4 linked regions of the Drosophila melanogaster genome follow. The protein of the gene in region 3 interacts with the protein of the main gene of each other region in a pairwise test. Each region holds a gene or a part of one and is shown on either strand. Other genes may lie near its edges. The genes, in order: Doa, ClC-a, Cul2 and CG6923.

Region 1 (4,633 bases), on a different chromosome or scaffold from region 3:
GCGATCTGGAGCAGCGCTCCTTTCGCGATTACGATCTGGCGAAATGGAACGCTCTCGACTACGATTGTGGGAACGGGCATCCCGAGCAGCTCGCTGCATTCTCAGCAGCTCAATCGAGTCAGCTATGTGAGAGGTACTCTTCTTAGGCGGTGAGTCATCTTTGGAAGAGGCCTTCGGCTGCGAAACGTTAAGAAGGTGCATCTCCATGGCATCATCTATGTTGCAGGGTAGCGAAGCAATGCGTTCTCTTGGACCTGAATTGGTTGGAAGGGAACCCTTGGTTAGTTCCTCTTCCTCATCGTTGTCGTCGTCTTCATCATCCTCCTGCTCCTCCTCTGCCTGTTGCCTGATGCGCCGTTCCTCCTCTTCCTGTTGCCTGCGTTTCTCGCTCTCCATCACCCGCTGCAGCTGAGCCTGCACCTCGAGGGCAGCACGTGCTCTGGCCTTGGACTCGGCCTCGCGGGCCTGACGAAACTGTTCCTGGGCAATTGCTAGAGCTTCCGCCTCCGCCTGTGCTCGAGATCTGGCCTCCGCTTCTGCGGCTGCTGCTGCCCTAAGTGTGGCCAAATCCGTGGCCGTCATCTGCTTTATGCTCAGGCGGCGCTCAGTATTGAGGATCAACTCCACCTGGGTGCTACCGCCCTGCGGCTTTTGCGCCGCGAGGTCTGGACAGCCAAGGGCGATCAGTTCGCTAAGTTCGTTGGACATTCCAAGGGGTGTGGTGAACTTTTCGGTTGATTGTCAGCTTTCTTTCTGGATCCCAAGGGGAAAAATTACTCGATTATCTAATATTGCACTGGCGGCTCCCTCGAATTGCGTTGGGTTCGACTAGCTGGGCAAGACTCGCGAGGCTGCCAATGTTGGCCCCAAAGGAAACCTGCGCAACATCGGATTATTTCGTATTGGTTCTATTCGGATCAGATCGGATCGGAACAATCGATCGCACGCTCAATGTCAATGTCTCATTGGCATTTTGGCAAATGCCCGACGACTTGACTTACTAATTGTATCAATGGTCGCCGTTCGACCAAAGACTGCTTCTTTTTGGCGCCCATATACATCCGACATATATATGGGTACAAGCATGTATAGCACCCCCAATTTGTTTTGGTATATAGAGCAGAGACATATACAAATTACAAATCGTAAACAGCAATGAGCTCATTGATCGCGGCGCCGCCTCATCAAAAAGCAAACCCCCTACCCCTTTGCGATTCTAGCCAAAAGATCTGCACCTTGCCCTAAATCTATTGCGATGTGTGGAATATGTGTGAATATCCCTGGAGAGATCGTTTTAGCCTATGTGTGATATCTCGGTGGGGTTCATTGGGCATCTTTCCCTGCCATTCTGTGTTCGGTTCGAAATCTGTTTTTATTTTTAACAAATGGACGACGTTATACCTAGTACACAGTACGTGTGACGCTAGTGCCAGTACAGTGAAACCTCGATCAGCCATGCAAATTGAACTGACAGCTCTCATTTGGAAGATGCATCTCTGATCTCTGATAATCACATTCGACTGATTGGATTTTTTAATTCACTTTGAGTTTCCATTAATTTTCTGATCTTTGCTGAGCTCTGGCTTAGCTTTCACTGTACCGAAAGCACACACATTCGAGTTGGAAAATCTGAAGGGGAAAAGTTTTCCACCCCAGTTGACTTTTATTTTGGTTGGCATCATCATATGGCCAAAATTTAATCATGTACAAGTTTGTGTCTTGGATTTTTGCTATAAGTTTGTTGTGGCAACTAAATATAAATGCAAGCCTTACGAAAATAGCTTTCGAAAATTATAGAAAACGCCAGCTAAGCGGAAAGTGGAGGATGGAGGGCAGCGGAAGGAGACGCCGGAGCGGCGGAGATCAACATGATGATGATGTGGCAGCCTGATGAATAATCCCGCCGATCTGTAGCGCACATATAGATAGTTTGTATCTATGTGGCACACACACTAACGGACACACACGTGTGTGCTCCATTTGTTAGTTTTGAGTTTTTGTTTTGATTTGCTTGGCCGCTGCGTTGTCTTCTTCGCCTTCATCTCCGAGTACACAGAAAACATATTCACCATATTATCTAAGCACAATAGTAACTAAACTGTTTTTACTTGTTGACCCTTAAACTTTTGGAACATAGTTAACAAAGAAATATGGTTTGAAGATATATATCATTCCATAGTCCAAAATGTTTTTAAACTATCTTCATTTCTATCTGTGTATTCGATTGAGTGAATGTTGCACTAGTCTCCTCCATCCCCATACGCTATTTCTATTAAAAGTATCTTTCGCCTCGCTAATTGCAAACTTGGTGGAGAAGTGCAAAGTTCACTATCAGCGTTTTGGACGTTTCACAGCTGCTCATCAGGCTGGATGGTATCCCACTTGATATTATTCCGAATTATACACTCGCCACCATTGGCGGGGGGTCAATAAAACAGTTTGGCTATGGTATCTTGCATCGCGTTTTGTTTAAACAAATACAGTCCGATGAATATCGCGCACTTTTTTTTAACACTCAGTGTTTTGTTTGATGTTTTTTTCGCTTTCGACAATTTTGTTCTTGCCGCACTGCTACTGTTTTATTTTTAAAACACTTAAATGTTCTAAGTTTTGGGTTGTTTTTTGTTCTTGCGCTTGATTATGTCACGGTGCCCAGCAATTGTTCTACCTATCCTATCGTTCCGAAATGCGTTTCTATATTGCACATACGCTCCGTATGTACCTCTAATTATTGTTCTATTCGATTATTTGGTGTTTCTCAGCCAAATACAAAAAGAAAAGGAATATTCAAAGCACAAGAAACGCACACACACCACACACGCACACACACACATCGATAAACAAATTGCGCGAAAGGAGACGATCAATATAGAGATCGGGGGGATCTGACCGGATAGAGAGAGACAGCGAGTGTGCGGGGGATCCCCGTGGTACCCGTACCGTTACACGACGAAGACGAAGCGACGACAATATGTAGTTTATATGGTTTATATGGCAGCAGTGGCGGCGACACACAGCCAACAAACGTAGATTTCAATCTGTTTCGGTTTCCTCGAATTTGAAAATTCTCAGCCGAAAACTGGCCGCAGATGAGAAGAGCGCAGACTTTCGGCGGCGCGTGTATTTATAATTTTCCAATGGCCACGGAGCAAATGGCAAGTAGATGCTTTTCCGCCGGATGAAGCTGCGCGCGCATCTCCGAGAAAGAAGTATCAGCTGTGCGCCATGGGCCATAGGTAGTTTAGACGAACATGCGCACAGTGCGGAGAGGAATCCCCAAGGCGTCGCTCTCGGGAGCCCATAAACATGTGTGTATTTGGGGGCATGATATAGACAGGGAGAGTGAGTGGGCACCGTGTAAAATCGGTGTATATAGCGGCGGTCAAAGCAGTAGCATTGCCAATAAATCATGCCAAAATTTCCAGAAGACTTAACATTTGTGTTTGCAGAAATTCGAATAATATATGGACGACCATTTGACTTGAATCGACATGTGTACATATATCACATATACAGATTATAACTAACAATTTTAGTTTAAAACAACGAAGGGAATTTGTTAGGATTACAATTACTACTGTACATATTTTTTTCCACAATATTTTTGAAAAAAGGTTGTGTTCCTATAAAATTGTAGGACCGACAATGCATCACGAGAAAACGAAAGATATTCGCCGACAATCTGTGACTCGGAATGGGGACGACTCACTAGATAGTCGTCATTGTGGTCCACAAAGTACTCCTCGATGATCCAATTGTCGCCGGCGTACTTGTCCACAGGCATATCGCTGAGGGCCACAAGATCAAAGTGATTACGTTGCCGTTTTAGCAGCAGGCAGCGGGTAATGGCCACGCTCTCTCCGTCACCGGGTGAAGCATCCTCCTCCAGATATGTTTCCAGGCCACAGCCATTCGCCCCATTCCGGATGATGAGCTGCTGCTCCAACTGCTTAAAATACTGAATCTTGGCGGCCTGGGGACTAAACGATGACGCGGAGGGAATTCTATGCGAGTTACTCAGCCCACTTAATTGGCGGCGACATGGGCAACTGGCAATGCTGGCGAGGAGCAGTTCGCATCATCCGCAGCAGCAATAGCAATATCTCATCACATCTCAGAGCAGCAAAGAAAACTCTGGCCGCCGTCAACGAGTTAATGTCAAATGATCAATTGAACGAAAATAACTAGAACAGCGGGGAGTGTTGGGCACAGGGGTAGCTATAAAGAACCACCAACAGTGAATGAGAACTATAAAGTTCTCGTTTAATTGAGAGCTGTTTTTCATACAGCTAGATGCCACGAAGAACGCATAGAAATTGCTTAATTTGCACATGAATATTGCCAAGGTTTCGCTTAACTGCTCTATTTAAGTACCATTTTATTACTGATGAATACAGCTCAAACCGAGTTTCCGCTCTAAGCTTTTAAAAAATGATTATCTCTTAAAATTTTGATTATATTTAAAGTGGCTACTGTTTTTTTTCAAACCTACACTTGAATAACAAAACCAATAGTTATTTGTAATTATGTAACATCTAAGTTTCTGAATTTCGACACAGTTTAAAGGCCTTGCCCAACCAAGTTACTTTGTTTCAAGTACTATCTTATCAACTCATGCTGCTCACTCAAGTGC
Region 2 (4,815 bases), on a different chromosome or scaffold from region 3:
ACCCTTATCGCGGATTTTGCGGCTCGAAAGGTGTTTCTAGCACCATCTGAGATGCTGGCTCTCCAGTCGCCACACGGTTTTAGCCAAGATCACTTTGTTTTATCGCAAGCTTGCTAATTTCTTTCATATGAGTTCGAAAATGGCGTTTCACAAAAAAGTACGTAAATTATCATTTCATTCGGACAAATATCTCTGCAACTGTTTTTGCGCCATGAAACACAAAAGACAAACTTAGGGAATAATTATTATACTAAAGTTAATTATATGCGTTGTGACAGATGGTTTCCTTGATTCGGAATGTTTGAATTTATGGTAAATATCTTTCAAGACCCATTATGTCAATTCAAAATGTTCAACTAAAACAAATTTGAATCGGACTATGTGATGAGATGAATTATGTAAATATAAACAATAATATAAGATATTAAGATACAATCATACAAATACAACTATGAGAACTACTTATAAATTAACAGACACAAAATGCCGCACTGCTTAATGGGTCAAGCAGTGCGCTGATATCTAACAGCTCGCGACAAAAGATAAGCTTTCAGTCTCTTTATACCCGTTACTCGTAATTTAAAAGGGTATACTAGACTTCTTAAGATGAAAACGTTTCCGACCATAGACCTAGTATATATACTCTTGATCAGGATCAATAGCCGTATCGATCTGGCCCTACCCGTCTGTTTTTTCCGTTCGTACGAACGTCGAGATCTCCGAAACTATAAAAGCTAAAAGTTTGAGATTAAGTATACAGATTCTAGAACCATAAACATGTAACATGTTCCCACGTCCCCATTTATTAATTTTAATATTTTTTTCATTTTCCACCGATATTACAGAAAATGTTGAAATCTTTCACTTTTCCAGCTGAGTGACAGACAGTGACAGTGACAGTGACAGTGACAGTCAGATACCCATCTGATAGTACCTCGACCATAGCATTCTCTCTTGTTTTTAATAGGTTTCTCTTAAATTCCTATTCCTATAGCAATTTCCCGAAAGTCATTAAAGTTCAAGATTATGGTCTGAGTACTCGATTTACGCGCAGACCAACAATCTATACCTATTTAGGGTTGCCATTATCATTATCGCAAATTAGGGGTAGAAGTTGTAGATTGACTAAGACAATACGGGCCAGAAGAGCCGGTACACTTTAATACTTAAATGTGATAAATCCAACGGATTCTTGAAGACATGTGACCCAATGCCTAGCCTACACATTGAGACTATTAAAGCAAGTAATCGCAATTTATGCGGCTTAAGTGATCCGTCACAGTGGGTCGAGCCATGCCAATATCTTGCAAGAAAGCTGGAGTGACTAATGAGCATCAGTCATTATTTTCTAGAAAGAAAATAGTGAGGATTATTACTTTTCAGTGCATAATTGGCAATAGCAATGGAATATCTACATATTTAAAAACAATTTTCAATGGCAATCCTCGATGGAACCTATGATTGACCTAGACAATAAGACCATGCCCACTGTGCACCGCACTTCGTGTCATCCAAGCGCTTGGCATTTTCACTTTTTTGCCGTTGGACCCGTCCACAGATTATTAAATTTATGAAATTCTATTGATGTTTACACGCAAACTTTGACCGCTCGAGAGTCAGTGGATGGATATACTACATACAAATGTGGGAACTATATGTACAAGTATCCGCAAACTTGAGACTGCTGAAAGAGCAGACGAGTGCGTCGGTGTCTGTGTACTAAATTTAATGGAATCTTGAATTTAAGCGGGACTGGAGCGTTCTATCTTCATGACACTATTCAGTTTGACTTTAGACACTGCTCGACTCACATGCAGTCGGGAATTGAATTCGCAAACGGATTTCAAATACGGGAAATGAGCAAAAATATCTGTGCCATGGATGTGACGAAACCGTATCGATCCCATCTTTGATACGAGTAGTGCGCCATCGATTGCGTTCAACTGCTATAAACCCATTAAAAACCCATTTGAACTGACAACAGCACAGTATGGTTTATTTCGGCGATCGGCAACGCGATCGCAATCGCGATCGGAGTAATCAGAAAGTCGAGCGAATCATTCACGATGAAGAGTTTGGCGAGGAGAACGTCGAGTTGGTGGACTCGGAGTGGGCGGACTTCGAGAAGTTCATTTGCCAGTTGCGCAAGCGGCGGAACAGTGCTATGTCCATGGAGGAGGAACTGCGTCACGTGCAGCGGCATCCGAAGATCAAGTCGCACGCCTTCTATCCGTGCCCGCCGCCAGCTGAAAATGCTCGGGATTCGGACTCCTCGGACGATGATGATCCCATCGGATACATCGATACTCTTGTAAGCACAACTGGCGATTTGTAATACAATAGCTACTGTTACGGAAATCTAATTCTTTGTTTGATAACGCACGTCATAAAGTTCTTATCTGTATATCTGTCCCACTTGCATTCGCTGTGTGTTAGCCAAGTTCATACACATATGGTCAACAGAATAGTAGTTTGGGTAAAACATAAGTTTTACTTTGTTATAAAAAAAAGTTCTGAGAACAAATACCTTTTCATTCCAATTATATAACTTTTTGATAATTTTTGCTTATTGCTTAAAGCCTTTGCTAGCATCGAATTTTCAAATTATGAAGAAATATTATATTCCATGTCTGGTTTGGAGTATTACAAAAGAACCTCCTTAAAAATTATAATTTTTTCGCAATTTTTAGCCGCAGGTGTATGTATAAAGATATAAATATAGGTACGTCTGCGAATAGCCGTGATTATAATGCCAATTTGTCTGATTATCCGACTTTCTTATTATTATTACCCCTTTTTGATGACGCAAAGAGCGTCGAAATTTTTTCCATTGCTCACGTAGAGGCAGTAGTAAAATATTTGAATTACATCTATGAAATTATACAAGCTCAAATACAATATCTCAAATATTGTAAAACAATCACTAGATTAAAAATGGAAAAATCACTGCCACCTTATAAGATATCCAATCAATCGATACGTTCGCATTGTTTATTATTGCAAATTTAACAATGTTGAAAAGTCTGCTTTATTTATTTAAGCATTTTTCGTCACGCCCGTTTCGTACATCTGCCGTGAAACCATCGATCAAAACAAAAACTTTTTAGATTTCTGAATGGTTTTCCAAGCTTTCGCTCGCCGCTTTTCCTGCCAGTTGCCACTGGCGATTTTCCCCACTTCTATTCGCATCTGGGCCTTTGTAAAAGCAATGCAAAAACAGTGTACAAATGACAAAACAGGCAAAAACATTAGCTATTTTTAATCCGATTATAACGAAAAGTGTTTATTATATTTAAAAAAAAAAAAGAAAGCAACAAAGATTCCATTGCTAAAGGTAGTAGGGTGGCGAAAAAGAGTGACCGTATCGGGAAGTCGTAGGTGAGATTTGAATACTTTCGTATACCCATTACTCGAATTGAAAACTCCCGAGCACTTAAATCACACACGTGTAGTTCATTTCATGAGCACATCTTAAATTGATAATCCCATATCGTGCAATTAAGTTTATGAACCATTTCGAAATACCAAAGAATTTGGCTTTGATTGCCAAACGAGCGGATTTGGAAAACAATGCTAAGATTCATATTTTGTTTACACATCGCTCGGCCAGTTTTTCATTTTATTTCTGGCCATTTTTTAATATCGGCACAGCGTGCTACCCTGCCGCAGCGTCTAGCCAAAAGAAATTTCAATAATTTTCCACACAAAGAGCGCCGAAAGCTCGACAAGTCAGTTTAGTTTCAAAAAAGTTTGGGTCAAAACAAGAACGCTCGGTGGCTCGGTCGGTAAATCAAAAAAGGAAAAATCAATAGATAATGAAAATCATTAAAAAGTGCCAATAATTTGCAAAATATATGGGCAAATACTGAGGTGTTTTGTGTGCATTTTCCGATCGAATCGCAGCGATAAATCAAATTTATTCGAATACGGCAAAGCCGTAAACCGACCACGACCCAGTGTAGAAATGTTAAAAATAAATGGCAATGCATTTTAGAATACCCGTGTTTCCTAGACGGGGACTCAAGGGCAGTGGCGTCCACCTCTAATTACGTCTGGCAGTGGGACTCAATTCAATTCGAATCGAATCGAGTCGAGTCAAAAACTTGCACTGCATCCGCGAGATAACCGAAAACCTAAAAATAATTGCCAAACAAGATGCGACACAAATATTTGGCCAACAGCCGCGGGCATGTCAAAGGCCGCCACCCAGATCCGTGCGACTGCAGTGCTCACTGTGAATTTTGATTAAAATTTGATTACGATTCTGAGTGCGCGATTCCGATTCCGATTCCGATTCCTATTTCGAATCTGATCGTGATTTTGAGTACGGGACATTGTTCGTGTGCATCGCTTGCTTCATGTTTAACAACAGCCACTCGCACCAGGATGAGTACATTCGCGAATACGCCTTCGAGCCGGAGCTGCTGATCAATCGCGAGGACTACCAGCGCAAGGAGGAGCGCTCGCAGAAGTCCACAGCCGCATCCTCCGCCTCCACGCCTGTCCGCCAGCGCTGGGATGAGGTCATTGCCAAGCAGAAGGAGCAGCAACGCAAGCAGAGCATCGAGATCGATCCGCCCGGCGATGATAAGAACCAGATCGAGATCGAGATCGAGGCGTTCTACTATGTGAGTGGCCTACGAGCCACCTGCCCATTTCATCCGCGTTGGACCAACGGCCATCGTCAACCCTTTTAAGCACTGGAAAAAAATAACCCTGAAGTAGTTCCATCATATCGAAAATAATCCATGACACGGTTCCCATTCCAAAAGTGAAGTGGAAAATAAGCGAAAGTAACCAAGTGAACTTAATTGG
Region 3 (7,112 bases):
CTTAAAGTAAACACCAGTCAGAAAATTTCAATTTCACAATGCTGTGAAATAATTTCAGTATAAAGCTTTTATCCTAAACATATTTGAAGTTCCAGAAAATTCTAAAAAATTTCTAGGTTGAGTGGATTAGGATTTAGATTTAGAAAATCAGTCTAAGTCCGGACGAGATTGTGAACATTTTCAAATTAAGGATAAGATAAGATAAATAAATTTTAAATTTTAATTTACATGTATCTACATATGTTGGCTGTTGTCTATCCCAGTTTCGAAAACAATGCATGTAAAAAGCGTGTAGTCACAGAAAAATTATATCTCCACGAAAACTGTGGATTAAATTGTAATCAAACTTTTTACACAAATAATGAAATTACAACATTTTTAAGATACCGTGCAATTTGAAGTTTATTTAATTTTTTGGAATTCACCTCCAAATAACGATTAAGAAATAAATACAAAACGTCTGCCGTGCTGATGGCTCAGGCTTTCCTCAGGCTGGAGTACCCCCCATGCCACAGCTCTAAACACTAAAGTCGATAACCACCGACGTCTCACAACACTGAAAATGTAAGCAATGTTAAAGCGAACACAAAGACAAAAAATTTAAATGTTTTGAAATGCTTAGAACATCACACCTTTTGGTAAATCGGAGTCCGAATTCTTTAAATAATTCTCGGTATATATATTAATTATTTTTTACATCATTTACATCTCAATCCATTTCTCCATCAGTATATGGTATCACACTTGGATCGACGACTGCTACATTGGATAGGTCAAAGTGAAATGTGTGGATGGCCTTTGGAAGCTACAAAGGCTGGAAATAGTGGTAGGCGATGTGCCAATTTTTGGCGCATATGGAAGGTTGCAAGTATTGATCACCGGCGGCTACGGTGGATGTGGCTCCAATTTATTCTTTGGAGTAAATTTCCGGTTTGGTGGATAAAAAAGTTCCAATCGACTGACAACCAACAGACAACTAAAAAAATTTGGCGCTCAACGATCTTAGCCATTGACAAATATGAGACTTTCTGATTTTTTGAGCTATACATTTTGTAAATTTTTGTTTCTTTAAGCTTAATGGTTTTTTCGTTTGTTTATCTTAGCCTTTATATATTTTCTTAGTAATTAAACATGTATTTATTTTGTATCTATCTCTTTGTATTTGTATTTTTTTGTATGTATCTCTGTTTGCCTTTTCGAAAGCCACATCTAGGCACTTAACAGTTTAGACCTTTAAAACTCGGTCTGTACAAAATGGATCATTCTTCTAGATCATACACTTACCTTTAAGGCATAACCCTTAACTCACTTTTGAAATCTTTTGAAAATGTATATTCTTTTGAACAAAAAGGTTGGCACTCGAGAGCAATAGCAATACGTATAAGCAATCGAAAAAAACGAAAATCATAAAAAATCCTAACATTATTACAGTTCACATATGAAATCAATTTAGGTTTGTGCACTTACAGTTTTTTAAGAAAATGGCTTTGGCCAGTTTTTAGGCAGGAAGGTAAAAAATTTGTTCAGTGGATCGGCGTTGACAATAAATTAAGATCAAAACAAAAGCAAACGTTTCGGTAGTGGAGACACGACATTCTTTTTACATCGAATTTTTTGTCGAGTTCAAATATCGATAGATTATATCGATATCGTCTTCGTCTGACAAACCATTTCACGATACCAAAAAAAAAGTGCAAAAATAACTAAATTCTCGGCGTAATTATTTAGTAAATAGCGTAGCTAAGCAGCAGGTGAGTAGGTCGCAAGCGCGCCCCTCCACGATCCATCAAGCGGTAATTGGCCTGCTGTGCAATTGCTCGAGGACAAGGCCATTTGCCTGGTGGCCCCCACGCAAAAAGTAAGCGATTATGCCAAAAAGCAAAGCAGAAGTGGTCTCTGCCAACGCATGAGGGTCGCTCGGTCGCCCATTGTTATATTTGCGAAGGCAGAATCAGTCGGCGTTCTAATTAGCGTGCACCCTGTCCCATCAGAAAACCCTTCCAAATCCATATCCAGACGGACCACGGATTAGGACTAAGACCCATTTGACATGTCGCTCAAGCCCAAAATAGTGGAGTTTGTCGATGTTTGGCCGCGCCTGCGCTGCATCGCCGAGTCGGTGATAACGCTCACCAAAGTGGAGCGCTCGGTGTGGAATACTAGCTTCAGGTACGTCTTGGCAACGGTCGGAGTATTAAACAGCCTGGAGAGAGATATTGTGATAGGTCACTAGAGACTACAAAGTTACCCAACTCAGAAGAAACACAAATAACACTAACTAACTTTTAAATTAATCCAACATAAGTAATGGTTTCAATCACATTATTTTGCATTTGAGTTGGTAAACTATGAATGTACTAGTACCTAGCGGTTCAACTATATATTTTATTCAACAGCAAAATTCACAAATATAGCTGCTAGCGAGGCGAAAATGATTTGGTAAATGTCGTAGAATCTTGATAAATGCAATCATAGTTTTAATAATAAATGCCTGTTTTCTAGCTTGAATTTAAATATTTTGACCGCTTAAAGGTTAAACTAAGTTCAAGTAAATATTAAATAGATCGATGACGTATCTTTTTAAAATTAATAATCAAAACAGTGTAACGCAGGCTGCTTTTATTCTGACCGCAACTGTTCGTATATATGTGTGAAGCGTGAGTTGCCAAAATAAAATTTCTAAAATAACGAGCACTAATACATCTGTCTTTCCAATCACATTCCTTTAACATATAGCGACGTTTACACACTGTGCGTGGCGCAGCCGGAACCGATGGCTGATCGTCTTTATGGCGAAACAAAACACTTTCTTGAGCAGCACGTCCAGGAGATGCTGGCCAAAAAGGTGCTGATCGAGGGAGAATGCTCCCATTCCAATGGTGGCCCAGACCTTCTCCAGCGTTACTACATCACCTGGATGGAATATAGCCAGGGTATCAAGTATCTGCACCAATTGTACATGTAAGAATGCATCGAAGTCTGTAATAACTCAATGATCGTTGGAATTAATTTCCTTTAGCTACCTGAATCAACAACACATCAAGAAACAAAAGATTACCGATACGGAATCGTTCTACGGTAATCTGTCAAGCGATGCTGCGGAGCAGATGGAGATTGGCGAGCTAGGTCTAGACATTTGGCGCCTGTATATGATTGAGTACTTGTCCAGCGAACTGGTCCGTCACATACTCGAGGGCATTGCCGCAGACAGAGCTAGCAATGGCACCTTGGATCACCATCGCGTGCAAATTATCAACGGAGTGATACACAGCTTCGTGGAGGTACAGGACTATAAGAAAACAGGCTCGCTTAAGCTCTACCAGGAACTCTTTGAAGGCCCCATGCTGGAGGCCAGTGGCGCCTACTACACAGACGAGGCTAACAAGTTGCTCCATCGGTGCTCAGTGTCGGAGTACATGCAGGAGGTTATCCGGATACTGGAATATGAAAGCCGGAGAGCCCAAAAGTTTTTACACGTCAGTTCCCTGCCAAAACTACGTAAAGAGTGCGAGGAGAAGTTTATTAACGATCGTTTGGGCTTCATCTACTCGGAGTGCCGCGAAATGGTTTCAGAGGAGCGGCGCCAAGACTTACGCAACATGTACGTCGTACTAAAGCCCATACCCGATAATCTCAAGTCTGAGCTCATAACCACCTTCCTCGATCACATCAAAAGTGAAGGTCTGCAGACCGTATCTGCGCTGAAGGGCGAAAACATCCATATTGCGTTCGTAGAGAATATGTTGAAGGTACATCACAAGTACCAAGAGCTGATCGCAGACGTCTTCGAAAACGATTCTCTATTCCTGAGCGCATTAGACAAGGCGTGCGCCAGCGTTATCAATCGCCGGCCAACCGAGCGGCAGCCTTGCCGTAGTGCCGAGTATGTGGCGAAATACTGTGATACGCTACTGAAAAAGTCTAAGACCTGCGAGGCAGAGATCGATCAAAAGCTTACTAACAACATAACCATATTTAAATATATCGAGGATAAGGATGTGTATCAAAAGTTTTATAGCCGACTGTTAGCCAAGCGCCTAATCCACGAGCAAAGTCAGAGCATGGATGCGGAGGAGGGAATGATCAATCGTTTGAAGGTGCGTGGTCTGCTAGTCTAAAATGTACTTCACAGTGAATAACTGCAATAATGTGAATTATTTATTTTTAATGCTGTTTTAATTTGTTATGACCCTTTTACAAAACTACATTAGCTTAAATAGATCTTCTTTTATTAATACTTACAGCAAGCCTGCGGTTATGAATTTACCAATAAACTTCATCGCATGTTTACGGATATATCGGTATCAGTAGATCTGAACAACAAGTTTAATACTCACCTTAAGGATAGCAATGTGGACTTAGGTGAGACGGAAAATGTATATTCATTAAAGATAGTTTATTTTTATGTATGTGTATTTCTATGCAGGCATCAACCTTGCCATTAAGGTACTGCAGGCGGGCGCGTGGCCCTTGGGATCTACTCAAGTTATACCATTTGCAGTACCACAGGAATTTGAAAAATCTATTAAAATGGTACGTTTTTCGTAAATGTATATATTTTATTTTAAAACGAGATAGAAGCTGCCTTTGACAAACCAAAGTTATAAAAAATTTTTTTCAGACTTTCTTTATTTAGTCAAATTTTTAAAGAGAGGCCTTTTAACAATATTCAGAAACATATATAAATATTTAAAGCAGCAATAAATACAAATAATATATAATAATAAATACAGAAAAACCTTTATGTAAAAAACTTTCCTTCAAATCGACGACTACATCGTAAGGTGTTCTCTTGAAATGTGTGACATATAGAAAGTTAAAAGTATCTTTATTTCAATAAAGGTACTTTAGCATACCAAATCAAAACGCAACTTCTTTTGGTCCAAATACATCTTAAACCGTGTGACTTTGTCGAAGGTACTTCAGAAATTTTAAATGTATACGTTAATCGTGTACTGTACCTTTGTTATGATTTTTCAGTTCGAGGATTACTATCATAAATTATTTAGTGGCCGGAAGTTGACTTGGCTACATCACATGTGTCATGGAGAATTAAAGTTGAGCCATTTGAAAAAATCTTATATCGTGACTATGCAAACATACCAGATGGCGATAATACTGCTGTTCGAGACTTGTGATAGTCTGAGTTGTCGGGAGATCCAGAACACCTTACAGCTAAACGACGAAACGTTTCAAAAGCACATGCAGCCTATTATCGAGTCAAAGCTTTTAAATGCCAGCTCAGAGAATCTCGCCGGTGAGACTCGAATAGAATTAAATTTGGATTACACAAATAAGCGTACAAAGTTTAAAATAAGTTCGGCTTTGCAAAAAGAAACGCCACAGGAGGTAAGGCATTTCGATTTCAACCTGGTTACCTGGTACCTGGTTTTCTAACGACGTTATTTATGTAGGTTGAGCACACAATTAACTCGGTAGATGAGGACCGAAAACTCTTTCTACAAGCCGCCATTGTAAGGATTATGAAAGCGCGTAAAGTCTTAAAGCACAATGCCTTAATACAAGAGGTAATATCTAAAACACCTGACTGTGAATTAAAATTACATGATGTATTTTTTCTTTAGGTTCTCTCTTTATCGAAGGTTAGCTTTACTCCCAACATAGCAATGATCAAGAAATGCGTGGAGTCATTAATTGACAAACAATATATTGAGCGAACGGCGAACTCGGGCGATGAATATAGCTACATGGCATAGACTGCGGTAGAGATTTTTTATTCTTAAACAAGAACCTTCCCGGACAACAACCTCCCATACACACAACTGACGCTAACCAAGCGGCTTATTTTGTCTAAAAAGAACTACCTACAATGTTAAAAAAAGAAATCAAAAGGTCAAGCAATTTGAGTTTTGTTATTTTTGTGGTCATAGCATATTGGTATGAAAGGTGTGTGGAAATCAAACGACGTTACTGATACTTTTAATTTAGCTTAGTTAGTTGATCCATTTTGATTTAATGCGTGTGTCCTATTCAATTGTAGATATAATATATTTCTTTATGTATTGTATATTTATCTGGTTTTATTAACACACGCACAAACCAGAATAATGTGCTGGAAAATGTATAATAAATCCCAAAAAATGTCTAAAAATATGTCATTCAAAGTATTTCGTATCCTGTGCGTTAACGCTGTACCACTGTACACTTCAAATTTACATAAATGAATGCTGTGCAAAAAGCAGTCAGCATTGCAGTTTAAGTATGCGGATAGAGATCTGTACTTTTTATTTGGTCGTCTCGGAAAAAACTGGATCTATTGTCCGGAATCCCATTCTTATAATTTTTTGATTTTCTAGTACTTTTTAATAACGAATCCGGGTAGAAATAGGCGTACCACCACCTACAAATTGGCATATCGTATATTGAGCTTTGAGTTGTCAAAGTGCCAAAGAAAGTGTAAAAGCAAACATTTTTCGAAACTTTCAAGATTGCTAAGATTCTTAGATTTTGTTTTAAAAGAGCTTTTAAGGACTTTCCCATCTTTTTGTTTTTGCTCACACATTTTATTGGACCTTGGTTTAAAATATAAAATTCCCTTAAATTCTTTTACTAATCTTAGAATGTCGATTTTATTAATTTACAATACCTTGTACGTATGTTCAGTAACCATTTAAGTTTCGCCTTTGCCAAGAAATCCAATATTTGTATATATTAAATACCCAAGGGCCGTGGATTATATTTGTTTTTAGTCATTTTTATTTCTTTTGTGCTACTTTTCTAAAAAATATATATCATAATGGTAAATTAATTAATTTTACAAATATGTATATGTAACTTAATAGTTAATTATAAAAATTATTAACTTCCTATATCAAATAACACTAGTTCATTGAACGGAATAAATAAAAAATACTTTTAAGTCGCTGATAACATTAATTTGTTTTGATAAATTCGGTAGAACATGATTGTAATTTGTTTCGCGATAAAAAAAGCGGTCCCATAAAAATCTTTTTAACGCTTCTGAATCCATGGCCATACCCTGAAAACAACTGCCTTCAACGACTTAAAAGCATTTTGGATGTAATAGCTGTAACTGTAATACAATTCGTTAATAATAATTTTATCTTGTTTTTGAGTGCCACAGCTCCCGC
Region 4 (7,877 bases), on a different chromosome or scaffold from region 3:
ACATACACCTATAATATTTAAAAAATTGTGATATAAAATGTAAATGTAAATGCACCTGAAGAAATCTATCTATCAAATGACGCTGTGCCATCAACAACCACTTCAATCTACTGATAAGAGGAGTATCATTTTCCACAGACCTTATTTGTTTACGTCCCACGAAATCAATGTCAAGTGCATGCTGCATACACACCAATTCTTCTATTTTTCCAACCAACAGCAACTTGTGCGAAAAACTTCCAAAAAACAAAAACAAAATAAACGAAAAATTAAACTGACCACAAAAAATAAAGTTAAATGCAGACATATGAAATCATAAATGATTGTTCATAATTTTAGCTCAAAACGCTGCTGCCAAAAAAAGTTGCCAACGGCCTCGTTTTGGGTTTGGTTAAAGTTTTGAACATTTGCTAATAATAATAACAGCGTCCAAATAATTTATACTATTCATGCAATGAATTCCTACAGAAGCAATCAAAGTTGCACTGAAACTGAAGTATTGAAGTGGAAACTATCGCTTTCGTTTGTTTGTAAAACTGTGAGGAGTGTTTCGCAACGAAACAAAAAAAAAACAAATAATAACTATGAGTTGAATTTACAAGCAGCGCTGCTTAAAATCCGATAAAACTACACTCAAACAAACAGCACCTTGGTTTAGAAAATGTCCGTTAAGCCAATGGTTAAACTTAAGTCGTTACACTGGTCAGCGCAGCTTTCGAGAAATGAACACCAACGAGAATATGGGGAAATCCTGCAGATAATTGATTAGCTGACCGATTTAATCAAGGAATATTTGTATGAAGCGAATTGGTTTTAAAATTATGGCTAAACAGAATTGGAAACGAAAGCCAAGAGAAAAGAATACGAAGCCAGCAATAAAAGAAAGAGTAGATATTGTTTTATACATATAAAAACTCAATAAAAACACTAAATACATGATATGTTAAGGCTTGTGCTGTGCATATGGATTTATTTCAGGCAGCAGAGAAGTATAACCAGTCCCAGCAGGCAGATAACCCAGTTCAAGCACCGCGTATTGTCTCCAATGGATACCATGTGGTAGGTTGGTGCCTTCGTTTCCGGGAAGTGTAGAACCATCAACTCGGGATTCGTGCTGTTCCTTTGCGTGGAATTTTGCTTAGCCAAGCATTCTTTAAGCAGTCTCTCCAAGAAATGGATCCTTTTGTACACGCACTCGAAGCCCGTGTGGTAATCGTAGACTGATGTCCCATTTCGAATGAATTTGCCCCATTTATCCACTAGAAACCAATCGAGATTGTTTAGCCGGCTTCTCCCAATTGTAATGAAGAAAACTCGAGAATCGTTTTCCACATGGAAAAAGGCGTACTTGTGGTTTTCGTCCTGATTGTGGTAATGGGGAAGAGTATAATACGTTGAAAGTGTCTTTTTCTTTGACCTTCTTTCGTGTATGCCCCGGCACAAAAACACGAATGTCTTATTCTTGATTGGCCAGCATTGTGGGCTTATTCCCATGTTTACATGAAAAGAAAATGAAGGAAACTATGTTTGTGATAGCAAAACTAGAAAATGTAATACAGTTTAATTAAGATTAACATTAAAAACCAGATAATTATGATTCGCAACTTTCCAACTAAGAGTTTCTTTGTATGTATATATTAAGCTTCCCTAAACAGTGGTAAGTAGTGGTAGTATAGTTTCTAACGGTATATTTAGTGCCAAAATATTTGAATTATCAGTGTGGCCATACTGCGCAACTTTAGTCTACGAAAGAGCTAGCTAGCTTCTATGCGATAGTATCGCCATCATCGCCGAACTGCAAGTTTTTGCACCGTCGAAGAAAAAGTTGTCTAAATATTTCAGTTCGGTGTTGTTACTGCTATAAAATCCAGTAACACATACAAAATGATTAAATCGTGAGAACATATATATCGCAAATTTGCATGTGCATAATGTAAATTTGTTCCGGACAGCAGCTGCGAATGAGAATAGTCCCCCGCCCCCGCGAAAAGAATTGCATTTAAACTCCCTTGTGTTCCCCAATAGCAGCTGTTGGCCTGCCAACCCCCACCACCCACTCTCTTTGTTTTGCCCAATCGGAAATCCCCACCCGGTTATTCGCGTAATCCCGGCTTTAGGAATTAAGAAAATTACCAAAATCGCAATATTTCTGTGTTACACATATAATAGAGGTAAGAATTATTTTGGGGACATTTGTTATCATTGAACAGCTGTTCATAGTTTGCCCACAGCCGAACAGCTGATTTGGCGTTTTCCCCAAATTGAAGTCAATAGTATCGAAACATTCAATATACTTAAAGCTGAATGTTATTCGTAAATTTTAATTTAAGTTAATACAAAATAAACGCATCAGCTTAATATCAGCTTAGACATATCGATATGCTGACATATCGATACAACGCTCATCCCTATTGCGTTGGCTAAAATAAAGAACTGCTGAACTTAATTAGTAATAAGTTGTCATAAGTTATTTAGAGCTTCCGTGGAAACCCCCATCATCCCAGTGCATGGAATCCGATAAAAAGTTTTCACTTTTCACTGCGGCGCTTGTGTTTTCCCCACGTAGCTTTGGAATTTCCTGCTAACGGCGATGAAAAACTTGACGGAAAAGTGGTGCTGACAAAAGAGTGTGTATTTGACAAGCAAAGAAAAAATTTCCGTCTTCAAACTTTATTTTGAGCTTTAAATCGTTTTTACTCGCTCGAGAACTGTGCAAATAATAGCCCCGAATTTCCATTTGGAGTACCTAGAGTACATAGCTGGCAATAGCTTTGGAACCCAAATACTTAACCCACTGCTTGTTTTTGTTTCTGTTTCCGGACAAAAAAAGCAAACTGGTCTCTGTTAGACAGTTGTACCTCCTCATACCCGTAAATTAAACATTTTTTCGTACATATACACAATTTTAGCGCATTTTGGCCTGCATGCGCTGCAACGCACCTTTGCCGTTCTGGTAACGTTGCCCACTAGACGACTGAAATGGATAGCTTGGAGAACGACCAGGAGGAGCTGCACCACCAGCCGAGGGTCACCTTGGCGTACGGCAGTGTGGCCACCAGTTCGGGTGGACAGGAAAACCGTAAGCTGGCCATCATCTGGAACCAGATAGTGCTAATCCTCTTGTGCTTTTGCAGATTCCCAGTATGCGATGTACTATAATCAGCAGAGGGATTCGGAGGGCTACATGCTAATGACGCCCTTCCTGTCCAGTTCGCAGAGCCACAGCCACACCCGTTCGCCGCCCACGTACACCGCCATGGTGGAGCCACGTCGCGAAGAGAGTTCTGGATTTGAGGGCTTGGCCAGGCGGTGTGACAAGTGCAGTTCGCTGGACGGACTCTGCCGCTGCGAATCGATGGTGGCCAGTAGCAGTCGCTATGCGGACTCCACACAGAACCAGTCGCATTCGGAGGCTCAGTTCTTGGAGCAGCCCTCATCCTCCACAGCGGCGATCGCCAATCCGCCCGCTGTTCATTCCATTCCACGACCCAAGCGAAAGAAGACTGAACCCCTGACAATGGAGCCAGAGAGTGACAATGACGGCGACGCGGTGGTTGCGTCCGTCAGCGGCACATGGCCTGCCGGTGCTATAGAAGAGCATGCTATGGACTCTACGGCGGTCGTTTACGAGGTCCCCTCTAGTTCGCTGCAGCTCAGCAACAGCTCCTTCGAAACCGCCCCAAGTGCCGTAAATGCTTACGATGATGTGACATCGAGTGCCTCGGACACGGAGCACGGCCAGTTTGCTCATACGCGTACCACCAACACCACGACGACTACGTCTGCCGTTCAGGCTCACAAGAAGAAGGCCAGCCGCTCCAATAATGCCTCCAACACCTCTTCCAGAGCAGTAGATACGGATGCCACGCCAAGCACGAGTGCCCAATCGAGAAAGCGACAGATGAGTCAATTTTCTTATCGCAAATCAAGGGTTTTGGAGCCGGAAAACGAGAGCAGCGATGATGGCTGGGATTTGCGTGTGCATAATCCCGTTCCACCAATTGAGCCCACAGTAACGATTATCCGTGGTAGCAGGGGGTCCGACGAGGCCGAGATAGGTCATACGGATCACAACTACTATAATAGTCGGTGCGCTGTGGCGGGAGCTCCACCGGATAGTACCTACATTAGGTCAGCCTCCTGCTCCACGGCCACCCATACTACACGTAGCGTGGATTATGGATCTCGCATTGGTCGAAGGTCGGCTGCAACAGGATCACCGTCCACAAGCTCGGATCAAGAACAGGAGCAGCAACAGCGCCAACAACAGGAGGAGATTATTCACGAAGAACGGCGTCATCAGCAGTCACCAGGCCAACCCATGCACAGTATGTACGGTGTTCCCGGCGAGTCTAGAATGTCATGGAGTCGTGCGCGGCCCTCTGACGACTCAGTGCCGCCTAGGAAACATGCGCGCATGGAACTGCCCGGAAGATCGCGTTCCAAACTGTCCTCAACGAATTTTAATTCGTTCTATCCTGGAAGGAGAGGACACCGAACCTTTGCGGAGCAAGGGAACAGTTCTGGGCAACATCATGTGCGGTTTCCACCATCCTCGACGCCGAATTCGAACGGGCCCTGTGTGATTACGTACGTCGGCCGGCCAAGAGATAGTCAGCCCGCCGCGGATCTCAATCTTCCGTCCACATCCACGGGAAGACGTGGCAGCCATGAGACCCGCGCCGATTCCGTAGTCTTGACGGCACCAGACTTGCAGCTGGATGATTGGTCATCGGACGATGATGATGATGACGTAGTATTTGTGCACTCCACTCGTGAGCCCATACTCTCAATCGATTTGACATCCGACGACGATGGCTTGGCCAATGATACGCAACTGCAGAGGGATAGGGATAGGGGCCGTGAAAGAGAACGGGAGCGAGCAAGGGATCGGGAACCATATCGTAATGACACTCAACCCAACCCGGAGGATCCAAATGAGGATAGGAGGACCATGTATGACTGTGCTTACACATTCCCCTATGCTCGCAGGACAGATCGTCGTACAGAAGCGAATAATGAGGGCACCTCTGCATTCGCATTTTATAGTGGCGCTCTAGCTGATCGGGCTGCCATTTCGGACCACAATTACAGCTACGAGCTAGACCAGCTGATGGATCCCGGCCCCGGTAATTTTTACCCGCCCCGCTGCTCCAACATGGATCCACAGCGCTACTTCCTTCCGATAAACGAATCCTCGATGTGGATGCCAGGCCATCCCGCTCCCCCGCCACCTCCGCCCCCGATGCCCCCAATTTTGCTGCCTGACAACTCTTCCACTGAGGCATACTTACGTCATCAGCAAAGAAATCTTACATCCACTCCAAGCAGCTCGTCCAGCGAGCAGACATCAACGCAGCAATCCCGCCACAGGCGAAGTAGCCCGGCGAACGTGTATCATCGTTACCATCCGTACTATTATGCGATAACAACGCTGCCAACTGTGGTGGAGTCGGACTACCCGCCGAGTCTCCAGCCTCACCCTCACCCTCATCCTCATTTTCAGCCCAGTCAAGGCGGAAGCAGTCGCAGTTCTTTGAGTGGAGCTTTGAATGCGGCTGCAGTGGCAGCCACAGCGGCGGCGGTACAGGCACAAACTTTTAGTGATTTGCTATCACAGGCCCATAATGAGGGACGTGCTGCGGCCCTGGAAGGCAACCGGACACCTCCACATACAATGGTGCATGCGCAACACCAGCAGCGGCAATCCATTAATCCGCCAGCGCCAGGAGTGGCATCAAATGCAAACCTGGCGGCAGCTGTTTCTCCACCACCGCCGCTTGAAATGTATTCCGGACGGAGCACCATTCCGCACTGCGGATCTCCGCCGTTCAGTGTTCGACGCTCCGAAGCTGCGTATAGCAATAGACAGCACTATCAGCCGCAGCCGCATCAAGGTCACCAGGCACCGCAGAACCAGATGCACGCCCACATTCATCCCCCTCACCGGGCCAGCGCCATAGTGGCCACCTCGCTGACGCCGGCTCCACCGTATCCGGTCCATCAAAATCTGTGGTACCGCCAGCAAAGCATGCAGGAGATGCACCGTCGCCACATGACGCCCACACCTATCGATCTTTCTTCGAATGCTCCGCTATTAACGAGCACGCTGCGAAACGGGTACCTGCATAGCATCTGCAGTTGTGTTCATGCTCGGAACGGTCCCGTATCAAGCCTGGATCCCGCTTACTATCCGCCGTACGACGCTGCACCGGCAGCTGCTGCTCCTCCACCATCTCCTCAACAACAGTCGCCTGCTACATCCGGTTCTGGCAATAGTAGCGTGGCAGCACAAGCGAGTATGCGACATCTGCAGCTTCAGCCCCAACAGCAGCCGCAGGCTCAGCAATCGCCACCAGTAATGCAGCATATGCAGCGCCAGCGGGCCATACACCACCACATGTTCCATCACCACTACTCACCACTGCATCTGGAGATTGGGCTGGCCCCCCTATCTCTGGGCTCCCGTATCCTTATCGCACCATCACGTCCAAACCGGGGAGCTACTTTGGTAAGGCCGTATAGAAATCAAAGTCATACCTATTTATATTAATTAGTTTTTACGTTTATTTCAGGAAACTATTGAGCGGAATACCTTGCCTCACAAATATCGACGCGTCCGAAGACCCAGTGAGACCGATGAGGATGCCGAGAAGTGCGCCATTTGCTTAAACCTCTTTGAGATAGAGAACGAAGTTCGGTAAGTTCAATGTGGACGTTACCTTATAAAGTTCTCTAATTATATTAAATAACAATTGCAGCCGCCTGCCGTGCATGCATCTATTTCACACGGATTGCGTGGATCAGTGGCTAGTCACCAACAAGCACTGCCCCATTTGTCGCGTCGACATCGAAACACACATGCCCAACGACGCTCTTCCCCCCAGCTCCAGCGGAGTCCCAGATGCCGCCAATTCCGCCGCATTATGACATTGTGTGCACGGCATCTTTATGTAAATCCCTCAGACTGAGTTTGTTCTCGGCATGCATCGATACAAGAACAAAGAATGAAATATTCGTAAAAACCCCTATATACATACCTTAAAATGTTTAACCCACCGCAACGTATGTAAAAGGCAGTTGCCACAGCTTGCTGCCGTGTTGCGCTGAAAGATATCAAAAAGCTAAATTTGTTTGGCTCAATTTCTATGTCTAAGTATATTAAGTGATTCGGCAAATAATTTCCTATACATATGTACAAATTGTCTACGTTTTGTGAAACAAAATTCTTGTGATAAGAATTTCATAAATATGCGTATATTGTTATAGTATAGAATTCCCACGACGGGCGTATATGATAACTTTGACCCCAGCTTGTTGTTATATTTTTAATGATCACACAAAATAATATAACATCGGACCCTAAACTTAACCGATTAGAAATCGATTTGGCAATTTGCATTTTTCTTGAGTAATTATTTGAAGGACTTAAAATCTGGACGATTTCCTCTCATTATTTAACAAATTTTGTTATGTTTTGATTAGTCACAAAAATGTAGAGAATAATCTTTTATTCTATTACCAAAGACCCTAGAATAATTCTATTCTATTCTAGTGTCTTTGCTATTACCAAATTATATATAGTACATCTATTTAATTTAATAGATTACGGATTATTGCTCAATATCTCATAACGTGCCATATATAAGTGAATTGATTCGATGCAATTTTTTAAATCTTGAGCTAACATATTTTAAAAAGGTTGGTTTTATATTATAGAAAGTTTCCTAAAACTTTTAAAAATTGGCTGTCTAAGACGGCAGAAATCAATAAATAATCCAATAAACGTCTGTTGATTTTTATTCCACCGATAAAAATACGATACACCTTTATTTCTGTTTGGGGTTTACATATTTTATTTTAAATCAGTTCTATTA

The links.
Region 1: the proteins of Cul2 (region 3) and Doa interact in a two-hybrid assay, tested with the Drosophila melanogaster proteins (one large-scale study listed by BioGRID).
Region 2: the proteins of Cul2 (region 3) and ClC-a interact in a two-hybrid assay, tested with the Drosophila melanogaster proteins (one large-scale study listed by BioGRID).
Region 4: the proteins of Cul2 (region 3) and CG6923 interact in a two-hybrid assay, tested with the Drosophila melanogaster proteins (one large-scale study listed by BioGRID).

What each region holds. Positions count from the first base shown.
Region 1 is NT_033777.3:28,901,883-28,906,515, reverse strand, and holds the start of Doa (darkener of apricot), read right to left. Parts: upstream 3,039-4,633; 5' UTR 2,941-3,038; intron 878-2,940; exon of another isoform or gene 754-877; 5' UTR 709-753; coding exon 1-708. UniProt on the Drosophila melanogaster protein: Dual specificity kinase involved in the negative regulation of microtubule-based transport through phsophorylation of the microtuble-binding protein eEF1gamma.
Region 2 is NT_033777.3:11,803,529-11,808,343, reverse strand, and holds the start of ClC-a (chloride channel-a), read left to right. Parts: upstream 1-1,776; 5' UTR 1,777-1,990; coding exon 1,991-2,311; intron 2,312-3,734; exon of another isoform or gene 3,735-4,358; coding exon of another isoform or gene 4,359-4,628; intron 4,629-4,815. UniProt on the Drosophila melanogaster protein: Voltage-gated chloride channel. Chloride channels have several functions including the regulation of cell volume; membrane potential stabilization, signal transduction and transepithelial transport.
Region 3 is NT_033779.5:21,657,104-21,664,215, forward strand, and holds Cul2 (cullin 2), read left to right. Parts: upstream 1-1,631; 5' UTR 1,632-1,858; intron 1,859-1,991; 5' UTR 1,992-2,050; coding exon 2,051-2,169; intron 2,170-2,736; coding exon 2,737-2,961; intron 2,962-3,019; coding exon 3,020-4,097; intron 4,098-4,244; coding exon 4,245-4,362; intron 4,363-4,426; coding exon 4,427-4,533; intron 4,534-4,980; coding exon 4,981-5,349; intron 5,350-5,414; coding exon 5,415-5,528; intron 5,529-5,585; coding exon 5,586-5,717; 3' UTR 5,718-6,595; downstream 6,596-7,112.
Region 4 is NT_033777.3:11,743,992-11,751,868, reverse strand, and holds CG6923 (uncharacterized protein), read left to right. Parts: upstream 1-1,839; 5' UTR 1,840-2,171; intron 2,172-2,380; exon of another isoform or gene 2,381-2,627; intron 2,628-2,843; exon of another isoform or gene 2,844-2,909; 5' UTR 2,910-2,979; coding exon 2,980-3,079; intron 3,080-3,134; coding exon 3,135-6,511; intron 6,512-6,575; coding exon 6,576-6,700; intron 6,701-6,761; coding exon 6,762-6,930; coding exon of another isoform or gene 6,931-6,957; 3' UTR 6,958-7,386; downstream 7,387-7,877. Other genes in the region: CG43062 (uncharacterized protein), read right to left, coding at 970-1,494.